Stegostoma tigrinum: one gene and its partner. The protein of the gene in region 1 purifies or fractionates together with the protein of each later gene. This does not show direct contact. Links are inferred from orthologs where the notes say so. Each region holds a gene or a part of one and is shown on either strand. Other genes may lie near its edges.

Evidence for each region.
Region 2: the proteins of napgb (region 1) and vesicle-fusing ATPase purify together in Homo sapiens (affinity purification with mass spectrometry; 3 studies listed by BioGRID and IntAct, with this or other methods). This does not show direct contact. The link is inferred for Stegostoma tigrinum from reciprocal best matches to the Homo sapiens genes NAPG and NSF.

What each region holds. Positions count from the first base shown.
Region 1 is NC_081358.1:115,585,285-115,593,011, reverse strand, and holds the start of napgb (N-ethylmaleimide-sensitive factor attachment protein, gamma b), read right to left. Parts: upstream 3,267-7,727; 5' UTR 3,027-3,266; coding exon 2,974-3,026; intron 1-2,973. UniProt on the Homo sapiens protein: Required for vesicular transport between the endoplasmic reticulum and the Golgi apparatus.
Region 2 is NC_081384.1:33,756,176-33,763,801, forward strand, and holds the start of vesicle-fusing ATPase, read left to right. Parts: upstream 1-4,465; 5' UTR 4,466-4,574; coding exon 4,575-4,586; intron 4,587-7,626.

The DNA of each region.
Region 1 (7,727 bases):
GGGGAAAAGGAGATTAGCACTAGGTAGTATGTTCATTTGTTAGAACAGGTGCAGGTAGTTTGGGCCCAGTGGCTGCCTTCCAGATCATATAACTTACATGATTTTTGTGAAAATTGCTAAGAGCCATGAAGCTAACATTCCCTGATAACTGAATGATTAATTGTCCTTTTTAGACGCAATTTCCACACAGATTAAGAATCATGGAATATATACAGCACAGAAGCCTGTCTGTGCCAGCTCTCTGGATGAACAACTCAACTAGCCCCTTCAGATAATTATGCAATTCACTTTTGAAAGGCTATTATACATGGGCACAGCATTCCAAATCCTAACCATTCGCCAACTTTAGGTACATTTAAGTCGTCACTGGATGAGCAAATGGACGTACATGGAATAGTGTAGGTTAGATGGGCTTCAGATCGGTATAACAGGTCGGCACAACATCGGGGGCCGAAGGGCCTGTACTGTGCTGTAATGTTCTATGTTCTATGTGCAGAATAAAAAGGATTTCCCAATGTAATCCTTGCTTCTTTTGCCAATCCCCATAAAACAGTGTCCCTTAGTTCTCGATCTTTCCACCACCTTTTCCCTTACCTACAAACCCCTCGTGATTTTGCATCAATCAACTCAATCTTTCCTCCAAGAATAGCCCCAGCTTCTACAACCTATCTAGCTACAGTTCTTTATCCTAGCAAGTAATAAAACCATATAAAAACAGAGCAGAATACAATTTATTTGTACCGTGGAAGCCTTGTTTAAAATTATACAGGATTAACTGAAGAACTGAACTCAGTAAGTTCATACCACACAGGATGGACATCACGAGATGTCAAAAGCCTGACAGCATTAGGGATATTTGCAATGCAACCATGCCAGTTCTATTTTTTAATTGGTTCATGAGATGTGGATTTTCTGGCTAGGCCAGCAATTATTGCCCATATTTAATTATCCTCGAGAAGGTGATAGATCTAAGAGCATTGATGGAACAGCAATATATTCTCAGTAAGGATGGTGAATGACTTAGAGAGAAACTGGTCGGTGGTGGTGTTCCTATGCATCTAGTGCCTTTACCTTTCTAAATGACGGCAGGGGTAGATTTGGAAGGTGCTGCCTAAGGTGCTCTCACCTTAAACATGTGCCTTCTAGTTTTGGACTCCCCCACCCCCAGGGAAAAGACTTTGTCTATTTGTCCTATCCACGCCCCTCATGATTTTATAAACCTCTATAAGCCTCCAACGCTCCAAGGAAAATTGCCTTAACCTATTCAGCCTTTCCCTATAGCTCAAGCCTCAAACCCTAGCAGCATCCTTGTAAATCTTTTCTGAATCCAATCAAGTTTCACATCATCTTCCCTATAGCAGGAACCCTAGAATTGCATGCAATGTTTCAGAAGTGGCCTAACCAATGTCCCGTAAATGACCTCTCAATTCCTGTACTCAATGCACTGACCAATAAAGGCAAGCACATCAAACGTCTTTTTCACCACCCTGTCTACCTACGACTCCGCTTTAAATGAACGGTGATTCTGCACTCCAAGGTCTCTTTAATTCAGCAACACTCCTTAGGACCATACCATTAAGTGTAACGAGTCCTGCCCTGATTTTCCCTATCAAAATGGAGCACCTCACACTTACCTAAACTGAACTCCATCGAGCACTCTTGGCCCATTGGTCAATCTGATCCAGATCCCACTGTACTTTGACGTAACCCTCTTCGCTATCCACTACACTCCAATTTTGGTGTCAACTGCAAACTTCCTAACCATACCTCCTCTGTTCTTTCCAAATCATTTTGACAAATGACAAAAAACAGTAGGTCCAGCACAGGTCCTTGTGGCATACCATTGTCTCCAATCTGAAAAGCAACTCTCTACTACCACCCTCTGTCTTCTACCTTTGAGCCAGTTGTGTACCTAAATGGCTAGTTCTCCCTCTATTCCATGTGATCTTACCTTACTAACCAATCCACCATGAGGAACCTTGTGAAACACCTTATTGAAGTTCATATAGATACACATAGAGTGATACATTTGTGAGTAGCAAAGCAGGCTACTGTGTGAAGCTTCTTAACCATTGTTAATTCTGTGCATCCAGGCCAGTCTATCATACTTGGGCCTTATTGATGGTGGACAGGTTTTGGGGAGTCATGAGGTGAATTACTTACTGCAGGACTTCTAGCCTGCTGTTGTAGGCATGCAGTACTTGAAAAACAAACATTGTGGATGCTGGAAATTTGAGACAGTGTGTCAGAGACAAATCAGCAGGTCTGACAGAAACTCTGCTTCATGATATCCGACTACTTAATTCACACTGCCATTTCACTTCCAGGCATGCCCATCCTGGAAAAAGTTCCACTCTACTCTTCAATGGGATTATCATTTTAATTTTTCAGAAAAAATGAGAAGTCACACCAATCGCAAAACAAAAATTTGCTGCTCCCTCCACACAAGCTGCCGGGCCTGCTGAGTTTGTGCAGCATTCTCGACGTTTGCACGGATAGTCCAGTGCACTTTTTAGTCAATCGTATCCACCCCGCACCCAAAATATGCTGGTATGGAGGATTCAGACATGGTAACGCCAGCGAGTGTCATGGGACAATACGTCCAAGAGGCGACTGCAAGGTATAGGAATCTGGACAGGTATTAGTTTTCTGGGAAGAGAACAAGCGAATTTGGCTTCATTTGCACTGATCTTATTGAAGGGGAAAAACCAGGAAACGTACGCTTCACAAAGAACCCTGGGAATCATAGTGCACCATCAGATGTTAACAGTAACTGCCAAAGGTTAAGGAACTACAGCTCCCAGAATGCCTCTGTCGGAGTCAGGTGAGCCGACGGTCGCGAGCTGTTTCAGTTAAAACGAAGCGTTAGAAACCATTGGCATTAGCTCTGCCAACGCACCTAAAACAAAAGTGACTGCCTCAAAAAAATGGGAAGGAGAAAAAAAAATCAACTTCAGCCGTTGGCTTGTTTACCATTTCTCAGCTGCGGCTATATGTTCCAACGCCTCGTTAATTTTCTGAGCCATCCGCCTCTCTCTGTCTCTCTCACTACAACCTCACACTTTTGTCAAGGACAGCGAAACGGACCACGAATACTTCACTCCGTACGGTCAGATTTTTTTTTTGCTCCCTCGATGAATGGCCGGAGTAAAAACGCAATCTGTTGGCCTGAAGCAAACAGATTTTCTCTCAAGCGGTGGCCTCTGTTCCAAGCCGCTCAAGGAGCGAGGACGGCCATCGCGGTAACGCGCAGGCGCGTTCACGCAGCGTCGTTGCAGTTACGCGGCAGCATCCCCGCAGAATTAGGCCATTTGGCCCATGAAGTCTGCTGCGCTAGTAGATCGTGGTTGATATGTTTCTTAGCCCCATTCTCCTGCCTTCTCGCTGATCTCCTTGCCACTTCGGCTCTGAAGGGTCATTGGAGCTGAAACCTTAACTCTGATTTATCTTCATGATGCTACCAGACCAGCTGAGATTTTCCAGCATTTTCTGTTTTTGTTTCTGATTGCCGGCATTCACAGTTCTTTTGGTTTGTTGTTTACACCAATCTATCTCTGCCTTAAATACACTTCCTGACTTGGCCTCCACAGCCTTCTGCGGCAATAAGTTTCACAGATTCACCACCCTCTGGCTGAAGAAGTTCCTCTTCATCTAAGTTCTAAAGGGTCGTTCATACCTTAACTCTGAAGCTGTGCCGTCAGGTCTTAGACACTCCGGCTAGTGGAGACATCTTCTCCATGTCCACGTTATCCATGTCTTTTGGCATTCTGTATATATATAGTGCAATGACCTCATCTATCTGCTAATTACAGGAGTTGGGCTGTGCTGGCTGGATGGCTGGTTTATAATGCAGAATGACTCCAACAGACCAGGTTCCTGCACCAGCTGAGGTTAACACCTTTCAATCTCAACCTTTGCCTGAGGTGTGGTGACCTGAAGTTAAAGCGCCATCTAAATGAAAGACTGGTCCTCTGGAACTATGGCTATATTACTTACTATGTCATTTGCGTAGTGCAGTTAGGAAGTATTGGCTGAACATTACAGCACAAAAGACTGGTAGTTCACGATTCGTTTATAGCTTGCGTATTGCTTGAAAGAAAGGTATTGTCAAAGCTTTTTGCCATGCAGTCTTCAGGACAGATACAAGAATGCCAAATTTCAAAGGGAATAACAATTTATACTGCATAAGAAAAAGATACTGATTGGTCACAATATTACCTTTTTAAAATTTAAACAAAAGTTTAGAGGATCAATGAATGTTCTATAGTGCATTCTCTCCACTCAGAGCCATGAAGCCAATGTAGCAATGCAATCAAGGTATAGTCATATGAAGGGAAAAGGTAGGACAAACTAATCCAGAGAGACAAAACTGATATAAGAGTAAATAAGAAGACAAAGACTTACGATAGATGACAGGTGAATAATATGATGGAGAACCACACAGAATATAGAAGGTTCAGAGAGAAGGAATTAAGTAAATATATAAAATGGAACCCAAAAGTCTTTCAATTAAAAAATCTGCAATATGAAACTAGTCTAACTAGTAATTTTTTAAAATGCAATCACAGAATGAGAGCATTGCTGACTAGGCCAGCATTAATTGCCTATCCCTAATTTGCCCAGAGGTCAGCCAAGAATTACCACATTGTTATGAGATACATGTGGGCCAAACCATGTAAGGATGGCAGTTTCCTTTCCTGAAGGAAATTAGTGAACTAGATGGCTTTATTCCAACAAACACCAATGGATTCAGGGTCATCATTATACGCTTAATTCCAGATTTACATCAAATTAACGATCCACCGTCTACCATGGTGGGGTTCAAACCCAGGTCCCCAGAACACTAGCTAGCTCTCTGGATTAACAGTCCAGTGATAATACCATTTGGCCATCACCTCCGCCACACAGTGATCAGGAAACGATCATTAATTTTTGGAAGAATCCATTTCATTCACTAACTTTCTTTAGAGAAGGAACCATTTTTACTCAGCCTAGCCTACATGTGACTCTAGATCCACAGCAAAGTGGTTGACTGTCTTCCTTCTGTATAGGCCTAGCATGCTGCATTCAATGGCAATTAAGAATAGACAACAAATGTTGGCCTGGCTGGTATTGCCCAAATCCAATGAAATTATACATTTTTGAAAATGGGATTTATGCATAGAAGAGTGTGTGGTTGAGGTAATAGAAGATAACTATGCATCTCCATTACCAATGACAATAAAGGTGCCCATGTCGTGGTGAAAGAACAGGTAGTCCTTACACTTGAAGGCTTTAAGGAGGAGACTGATAAGAAGGTATTGGAATCGAATTCTGTACTTAAAAGTTGATAAAGCACCAGGATAGAATGACAAACATCCAAGAGTACTAAAGGAAGTGAGAGTGGAAATTTCAGAGGCATTGGACGTAACTTTCTGATTTTTTTTTACTCAAGTATGGTCACAAAGGTCAGTACAGGATTGAGGGTGTTCTAGTTAAATGTGTGCAGTATAAGAAACACTATAAATGAGCCTGTAGCACATATTGAAATTGGTGAGTATGATGTTTCGGGCATCACAGAGATGTGGCTCCAAGCGATCCAGTGCAGGGAAATGAATACCCGAGGAGATAGGCATCCTATCGCAAAGCCAAGCAGATGGTCAGAGAGGATAGAGCTTATTAAATTGATAGCAAGAAATGATATAGGGTTGGAAAGCATTGAATCTGTGTGGTTAGAGTTGAGCAACTGCAAAGGAAGGAAGATCCTGTTGGGAGTTATGTAGCTGAGCAATGGTCAGGTTATGGGTCAGAAAATGAATCAAGAGATAGTGTCTTTTTTACATACCTTTTCTATGAATAAAATCATGGGGAACTTCAATATGCAGGTGGACTAGAAAAATTATGTTGGTAGCAGAACTCAAGGAATCTGTGGGATGTCTACAAGTGTTTTTTTGGAGCAGTTTGATTTAGAGTCCATTAGGGAACAATCAGTTCTGAATTTGGTGATGTGTAATGAGGCAGACTTAATTAGAGAGCTTAAGGTGAAGGATTGCCTGGGACGTATTGACCACAATATGACAGAATTCACCCTGCAGTTTGAGAGCGACAAGTTGGAAACAGATGTCACAGTGTTACAAGATAATAAAATGTGAGGCTGGATGAACACAGCAGGCCCAGCAGCATCTCAGGAGCACAAAAGCTGACGTTTCGGGCCTAGACCCTTCATCAGAGAGGGGGATGGGGTGAGGGTTCTGGAATAAATAAGGAGAGAGGGGGAGGCGGACCAAAGATGGAGAGAAAAGAAGATAGGTGGAGAGGAGAGTATAGGTGGGGAGGTAGGGAGGGGATAGGTCAGTCCAGGGAAGACGGACAGGTCAAGGAGGTGGGATGACGTTAGTAGGTAGGAGATGGAGGTGGGGCTTGGGGTGGGAGGAAGGGATGGGTGAGAGGAAGAACAGGTTAGGGAGGCAGAGACAGGTTGGAGTGGTTTTGGGATGCAGTGGGTGGAGGGGAAGAGCTGGGCTGGTTGTGTGGTGCAGTGGGGGAGGGGACGAACTGGGCTGGTTTTGTGATGCGGAGGGGGAAGGGGAGATTTTGAAGCTGGTGAAGTCCACATTGATACCATTGGGCTGCAGGGTTCCCAAGCGGAATATGAGTTGCTGTTCCTGCAACCTTCGGGTGGCATCATTGTGGCACTGCAGGAGGCCCATGATGGACATGTCATCTAAAGAATGGGAGGGGGAGTGGAAATGGTTTGCGACTGGGAGGTGCTGTTGTTTATTGCGAACCGAGCGGAGGTGTTCTGCAAAGCGATCCCCAAGCCTCCGCTTGGTGTCCCCAATGTAGAGGAAGCCACACCAGGTACAGTGAATGCAGTATACCACATTGGCAGATGTGCAGGTGAAACTCTGCTTAATATGGAAAGTCATCTTGGGGCCTGGGATAGGGGTGAGGGAGGAGGTGTCGGGGCAAGTGTAGCATTTTGTGCGGTTGCAGGGGAAGATGCCAGGTGTGGTGGGGTTGGAGGGCAGTGTGGAGCGAACAAGGGAGTCACGGAGAGAGTGGTCTCTCTGGAAAGCAGACAAGGGTGGGGATGGAAAAATGTCTTGGGTGGTGGGGTCGGATTGTAGATGGTGGAAGTGTTGGAGGATGATGCGTTGTATCCGGAGGTTGGTGGGGTGGTGTGTGAGAACAAGGGGGATCCTCTTTGGGCGATTGTGGCGGGGGCGGGGTGTGAGGGATGTGTTGCGGGAAATACGGGAGACGCGGTCAAGGGCGTTCTCGACCACCATGGGGGGAAGGTTGCGGTCCTTGAAGAACTTGGACATCTGGGATGTGCGGGAGTGGAATGCCTCATCGTGGGAGCAGATGCGGCGGGGGCGGAGGAATTGGGAATAGGGGATGGAATTTTTGCAGGAGGGTGGGTGGGAGGAGGTGTTTTCTAGGTAGCTGTGGGAGTCGGTGGGCTTGAAATGGACATCAGTTATAAGCTGGTTGCCTGAGATGGAGACTGAGAGGTCCAGGAAGGTGAGGGATATGCTGGAGATGGGTGCAGGAACAGCAACTCATATTCCGCTTGGGAACCCTGCAGCCCAATGGTATCAATGTGGACTACACCAGGTTCAAAATCTCCCCTTCCCCCTCCGCATCCCAAAACCAGCCCAGTTCGTCACCTCCCCCCACTGCACCACACAACCAGCCCAGCTCTTCCCCTCCACCCACTGCATCCCAAAACCAGTCCAACCTGT
Region 2 (7,626 bases), on another chromosome or scaffold:
AGCTTAGTGGTAATGTTGAAATTCAGCTTCTGGTGAAGTTCAAAAACAATGGCTTCATTCTTCACAATATTTATTTCAAGGAAATTACTACACATCAAAATGTTGTGATACCAAACAGGAACACTGGTGTAAGGGGTATTGTATTAGCATAAGTTAAGGGACTGGTTAATAAACAGGAAGCAGAGGAAAACTTCTTCAGCTTCTCAGACTGTAACTAGTAGGGTGCCACAGGGATCACTATTGGGAATCAACTACTTGCAATCTATTTTAATGAAATAAATACAGGAGCTAAAAGCGCATTAACTACATTTCCTGGTTTGCCTCCATATATAGGAACTTAACCTGTCAAGTGGAGGTAGAGAATCTACAAAGAGATTTAAATAGGTTAAGTGAATGGACAAGTAATTGGCACATAGATTATAATGTTGGAAAATGTGAACTTGTCCATTTTCACAGGGAGGATGAAACAATAGTACAATTTAAAAGGAGAAAGATTGCAGAATTGTGAGGTACAGAAAGTCTAGCTGTGCTGGTACATGAATCACTGAACATTAGCATGCAGGTACAACAAATTATTTAGAAGGCAAATAGAATGTTAGTATTCATGGCAAAAAAAATATGAAATACAGATATTTTCCCACCAACGTTGTTATGGCCCAAAGACCACCAGATCAAATCAGCTTCTCAATCCCTTCATTCATAACACAGTAAAATTAAAGTATTTAATGACCCTCAGAATTGACCCCAATCATTCCTAACGAGGCATTTTGAATAACCAGTATCAGATTTTTTAAAAATATCCAATATGATACAACAGGTTTGGAGCTTAAACAAAAAATTAATAATTTATTAATAATACAGTTGCTTTGACAGAGCAAAACTAAACAAGATAACCTGATTGAAGCCTATGATTTAAACCTAATCCTCTTTGATTCTAGCCCCAACTCACACAAAGTTAGACAGACAAACAGATGCAGTTAAGGATAAATAGAAAGAACAAAACAATGAGATGCAACTGATCAGTTCACTGAAGCAATCTCCACAATCTGTAGTTTCACAGGCACGTGGATTTGTACCTTGCTTGGTTTCTGAAGATATAGCTTCCAGTAGAGTCCAAAAATATTCACAAAACACTTATAAGTGAGATTCTATTCTCTAAACTTGCAATAAACTGATAATGGAAGGACAATGAGGGAACAAAAGAATGAAACCTTCAGCCTGCAACTGCCACAACCACAATCCTTCCAACTTAAACACAGTTCAAAACCAGTTCGAACTTTGGATTCTCTGTTAGGATGGCTGGCTCTGGATGACACCCAAGTACAACATGTGTCATCTAATTGAATGTTAGGCATCTCCAGAACTGAAACTTCCAGAGTGTTCTTTGAACAAGAGACAATTCACAAACAAAAAAGAAGTTCTCAACATCATATAAAGTTTTGGTGAGACATCATCTCCAATAATGTGTCCATCTTTGGTTTTATGATTTGAAAAAAAGATATAAGTGAGTAAGAGATAACAGGGTGTAGAGCTGGATGAACACAGCAGGCCAAGCACCATCAGAGGAGCAGGAAAGCTGATGTTTTGGGCCTAGACTCTTCTTCAGAAATAGAATCAGCTGAGAGAAAGTTCTCCTTCCTCATCCATAGAATGAGGGACTAATGTAAGAGTCAAAGATGGATAGGCTAGGCCTGGACTAACTTCAGTTTTGAAGAATGAGGTGGTAATTGTTAGAAATTCAGGTCATGTTAAGGGTAAACCAGAACAGCTCTTGAGTCAACTGACAGCAGGTTATGCTCATTGTTTGTTGTATTGGTTTTGTAGTAATATGGATGATTTGGTGGTAGATCAATCAAAAGAAAGAGATCTGTGTTCTTGTTACACATGGTATTGTCCCTACTTCTAGGTTAGAAAGTCTGGGTTCAACTCCCACTTGCTCCATCGGTGTGTTGTGGAACGTCTGAACAGCCTGATTGAAATACCAAGACCTGGGTTCATGGTGGTTTGATGGTGGAAAACAGTGTTCAGAGGTGTGTAATAGTATCTCTGATCAACATTTAAAAGAAGACTTGGGTTCACCTCAGCCTGGTTGAAGTCTCATCTACTCTCGAGTTGTGTCATACCATCTCTGAACAGGTTGATGAAACAAAGAGTAAAAGTGTTGAGCTCATCCAGGTTCATTTTAATTGATCATCTTCCTCTTTCCTTACTGTTTTTGTGGCACTTCCCCAGTGAGCAGTACTTATAATTCAATAATTTGCTTAGTGACATGGGAGGCTTGGTGGTTGGTCTGTGAAAGAAAAAGCTGCGTCCTATATTCTGCCTCTCTTCTGGGGCTAGACCCATGTCCCGGTGTCCTTGGAGAGGAAGCATGCGATGTCCGCCAGCACCCTCGAAGCTTTTAGAGAAAGGTGGGCATGGCCGGGGCTGAAGCATACGATCTTTCTATCCAGTACTATTTTTATTTAGCCCTCTCCCTTGTTTCCCCAAAATTTTGGTTTATTTCTTATTTTTGCACTGTCCCTGGTGGGCAGTGCTTGTAATTTATTATTTATTCAATTTGCTAATTGGGGGACTTGGTGGTGGTTATTTAAAAAAAAAGAGCTGAGTTCTTGAAGTTCTTGTGGTGCAGTGGTAATGTCCCCACTACTGGATCAAGAGGCCTGAATTCAAGTCCCACTTACTCCAAAGATGTATCATAATAGACTATAATGTTGGAAAATGTAAATAACAAAGAACTGTGCTCTATTGTTCAGTTCTCATCCTTCCCGAGTATTATTACAGAGAGTCTGCACCCAGTATCTACTTGTATCCTTGAATCTTTCAAAGAGAAGTGGGCATTAAAAAAGTTGGAGTGCATTTTCTCCTTTCAACACTACTTTCATCTACTCCCCTCCTTTGTTTGACGATCTTTCTCTTGATAACCTCCATGAGTTCTATCTGTGACCTGATCTCCAAGCCTCCCGAGAAGTGCAGCACCTCCTTTCTGCCCCAGACAGCCTGGAGCAGAGACTCCAATGAGGCACCATTAAAATCTGCACATCCCTGCGGACAGGTGGGATAATGCCACAGACTGCAGTGATGTTCTTGGCTTACAATGAGTGAACAGACACACAAATGGAACCAAAATCTTCAACTTCAGAAGGTATTAATGGGGTGAAAACATCTGTCCACCACCCACAGATGACATACTATTTAAGTTACTATAGAACTTGCTTGTATATGAAATAGCTGAAGAATGGATTATGGTACAAGAAAATTCAACATGGACCAATGCAGATATCATGCCATCTCAGATGCTTTCTGTAATACCTTATTCTAACTAGTGGTGGCTGTATATTGATGGGTGAATACTAAAGTTATTGTATCAGTGCTGATAGAGGAATATTGATGGGCAGATGTTGATAGGTGAACATGAGCAGTGGATGTTGATCATAGATTCCCTTGGGAGTGGAAGCAGGCCATTCAGCTCATTGAGTCCACATAGCCCATCTAAAGACCATCTCACCCAGATCCTTAACTAATCCCTGCATTTTCCCATGGCTAATCTACCAAATCTACACATCCCTGGATACAATAGATAACTTAGCATGGCCAATCCACCTAACCTGTGCATCTCTGGACTGTGGGAGCAAACCAGAGCACCCGGAGAAAACCTATGCTAACCTGAGCTGAGGCTGGAATTGAACGCAGGTCCTTGGTGCTCAGTGCTGACCACTGAGTCACTGTGCTGCCCCTGTTGATGGTTGAGCACTGACACATGGATATCGATGCGTGTACATGGACAGTAGATGTCAATGGGTGAACATTGACATTTGGATGTTAATGGATGAACATGGACAGTAGATGTTGATGGTGATGATTGAAAAATGGATGTTGATGGGTGAACATGAACAGTGGATGTGGATGCTGAACATTGACATTTGGATGTTGGTGGGTGAATATGGACAGTAGATGTTGATGGAGGAACTTGAACAGTGGGTGTTGATGATGAACATTGGAAAGTGGATGTCAATGGGTGGGCGATGGACAGATGGATGTTGATGTGTGAACATTGACAGATAGATGTTGATGGGTGAACATGGGCAAATGGATGTCGATGGATGAACATGGATGGCAGATATTGATGGGTGAACATGGGCAGGTAGCTGTTGATTGATGTACATTGCCAGCGGATGTTGAGGGGTGCACGTGGACACTGGATGTTGATAGAGGAACATGAACAGCGGATGTTGATGGTGAGCATTGAAAAATGGATGTTGATGGGTGATCATTGATAGATGGATTTTGATGGGTGAACATGGACAGTGGATGTTGATGGGTGAACTTGGACAGAAGGATGTTCATGGATGAACATGTTTACGATTCCACACGATTTATTCCAACTTAGCAACGTCCTGCGTGCTGAGGTCGTGGCGCAGCGTGCTGACGCATGGCCCGGATGTTATAAAGCAGCGTTGTGGGTGTGGGGGAGGGGAAAGGCGGCGCGAGTGGTTGTGTTCGGCAGACACGTTTGAAGCAACCGGCAACCGGCAACCGGCAACCTTGCTCGGTCAGCCCAACCGACAGCCATAATGGCGACCCGGGTAAGTCCCGATCAATGACGAGAGGAGGGGGAAGCTGCTGTTGCTCCTGAATTCGGATACCAGCGGTTAGCTGGGTAACTGCAGCTTGATGTCCCCTGTGCCTCCTCTGATTCCACCTGCACCCTTGTTGCTCCTCTGCTCTCTTTTCACCGTGGTGTGGCTTTCCCCCTCTGATGAGCGCCCCCGTGCCCATCTGATGAGTTCCCCCATGCCCCCCGTCTGATTCCTCCATGCTCCCTCGTGCCTCGGCCCCCTCTGATGAGAACCCACGCATACCCCTCTGTGATTTCCTCCAAGCTCCCTTGTTGTGCCTCTGCCTGCTCTGATGTGTCCCCCATGCCCTCTCTGCATCCAACTCCTCCCAAGCCCCATTAGATCTGCTTCTCTTCCCTGGCCTCTTCTGATGCCTTCACATTTCCCTTTTTTGTTGCTGCCACTTGCCCTGGAAGAAGAACGTATGAGAGTGAGATAGTTTTTGCAAGGAGGAGAGTTAAGTGCAGTGTTAAAGTTGAACTGCCTGTTGGCTCCTTTTTTTAATTGCACATACATTGCTGCAGAATGCTTGTCATTGCTGAAAGTTGAGAGATCAGCACAAACCCCCTTAGTTGCTTGATTATGTTTGGCATTTTGTTGCACTGCACCAATTTGGCATTACTGGAAGGCTTCCTAAGATTGTGAAGCATTATTCAAATTATGTTCATATTTAAGTTTAGTAAAGTGAAATTTACTAATTTCTGATAATCTAGAAACTGTTAAATCCCAAATGATATTTAGATGCCTTCAAAGATCAGTCGAGAGTGGCAATTTGTATTGGAGTGACGTATTTTGTATTTGAAGAACTGATGATGCTGGTAACCATGTGACAATTGTGGCTTCTTGTGGATCAAATTTAGCTAATAAATTTGGCTGATTTATAGACTGCAGTTGTCTTTGGATTTTTTGCCAAATAATTTGATGCATCTTGATATCTAGTGATGATGTACATGTGAAATTTTGAGTGGGGAGAGTTGTCTTGCTTTTTGTTCATTTTGACATAAACCATTCCATATCCCTCAGGATACCTCTTCCTTCGCTTTTATTCTGGTCTTTTCATTCAAATGGCCATTCAAAACATACCTATTCTTGCAGGTATGAAAATGTAATTAAATTGCCCATGTTTTCACATCAGTGAATTACAAATATGGAATTCAGAGAAATGATAAAGGGAAATGCCGGATGCAGAAAATGGTAAAAGTTTGCATCATCTATCACAGGAGTGGTTTGAGGCAAGAACTCTTGCGGAAATGTCCTTATGGTTGTTTGAGAAATCTGCAAATATTAAAAGGAAATGCTTGTATTGATAGTGACCATAAAGATATTGGATTTTTGTGCAAACCCAACTGGTTTAATTGTGTCCACTGGAAAAGGAAATCTTGTCAAGTTAGAGCAAATCTGACTTCCATGCCTGATTTGATATGACTGGCTCTCAGCTGTCCTCTGAAGTGGCCTGGCCATCTTCTCAGAACAGCCCTAAAAGTGTAATAAATGCTGAATTTGCTAGTGATAGCCCATTTCACCCCCTACTAATTTTCAGTTACTGAGCAACCTGTAATACATTTGTAATTTCATAACATCTCGTATTTGTAACATTATATAGGTAATTTTGAGTAAAATGTATTGTTATACTTTATACCTAATTTACTATGTGTTTAGCATCCACACGATAGAATTGGTTTTAAATGTGTTAAATTGTGGCACCTTCTGTACAAATCAGGCATGCTGTACACATAATTTGTTGTGATCTAATAATGTAATTTTTTTTGTTTGTTTAACAAACATGACAGTCATACTTTCTTCTGCAAATCTGACCGTTTTGATAACTTGCCTTAATTGCATGTTGGCAATAGCTGACATTGTCCTTGAAAAAGAAAGTAATTTTGATTTAGGATGATAAAATGTAGGAACGGAAGTAGGCCTCTCAGTTCACTGAGTCTTCTCCAACATTAAATGAGAATCATAAGTGATCCGATAATCCTCAACGCCTTTTTCACATGGTCCTTGATTCCTTTCCTTATTAAGCATTTGTCTGTCTCAGCATAGAATATATTTAATGTCTTAGCCTCATAGGGTTGATGAGTTCAATTCAGGTCTCGCTGCTAAAGGAAAGAGATTGTGGAACTTGAAAGTGTGCAGAGAAGATTTATAAGAATGTTGCCAGGGTTGGAGTGTTTGAGATATAGGAAGAGGTTGAAGGGGAGGGTCACACGACCCAAAACGTTAACTCTGATTTTTATTTTTCTTCACAGATGCTGCCAGACCTGCTGACCAATTCCAGCAATTTCTGTTTTTGTTCTTGAGTAGACTGGGGCTATTTCTCTAGAGTGTCGGAGGTTGAGGGGTGACCTTTTCGGGGCTTATAAAATCATGAGGGGCATTGATAGGTTGAGTAGCTGCAGTTTTTTCTCCAGGGTAGAGGAGTCCAAAACTAGAGGGCATAGGTTTAAGGTGAGAGAAGAAAGACTTAAAATGGGCCTGAGGGGTAATTTTTTCATGCAGAAGGTGGTGAGTGTATGGAATGAGCTGCCAGAGGCTGGTACGATTACAACACTTAAAAGGCAGCTGGATGGGTATATGAATAGGAGGGATATGTACCAAATGTTGGAAAATCGGACTAGATTAACATAGAATATCTGGTCAGCATGGACAAGTTGGACCGGGGAGCCTCTTTCTGTGTTGTGCATCTTTGACAAAACCTCTCTATCCCTCTGAGGTAAAGAATTTCAAAGATGCTGTATTCTGTTGAAGTGAAAAAAATTCTCCTAACCTCTGTCCTAATTATTATTGCCTCTTTTTCTTAGTTAACTTGCTGGTGGTAGTATTCTCATAGAATTGCTGCCCTTGTGTTTCTAGGTAGTGGAAATAATGAGTGTGCAAGGTTTTGTTGCAAAAGCCCTGGTGAGTGGCTATGGTGCATGTTATAACATTGTACACTATTGCTGTTGTGCTGAGGTGTTGGAGGGAATGAATGTTTAACATGGTGGTTAGAATTTCAGTAATATGG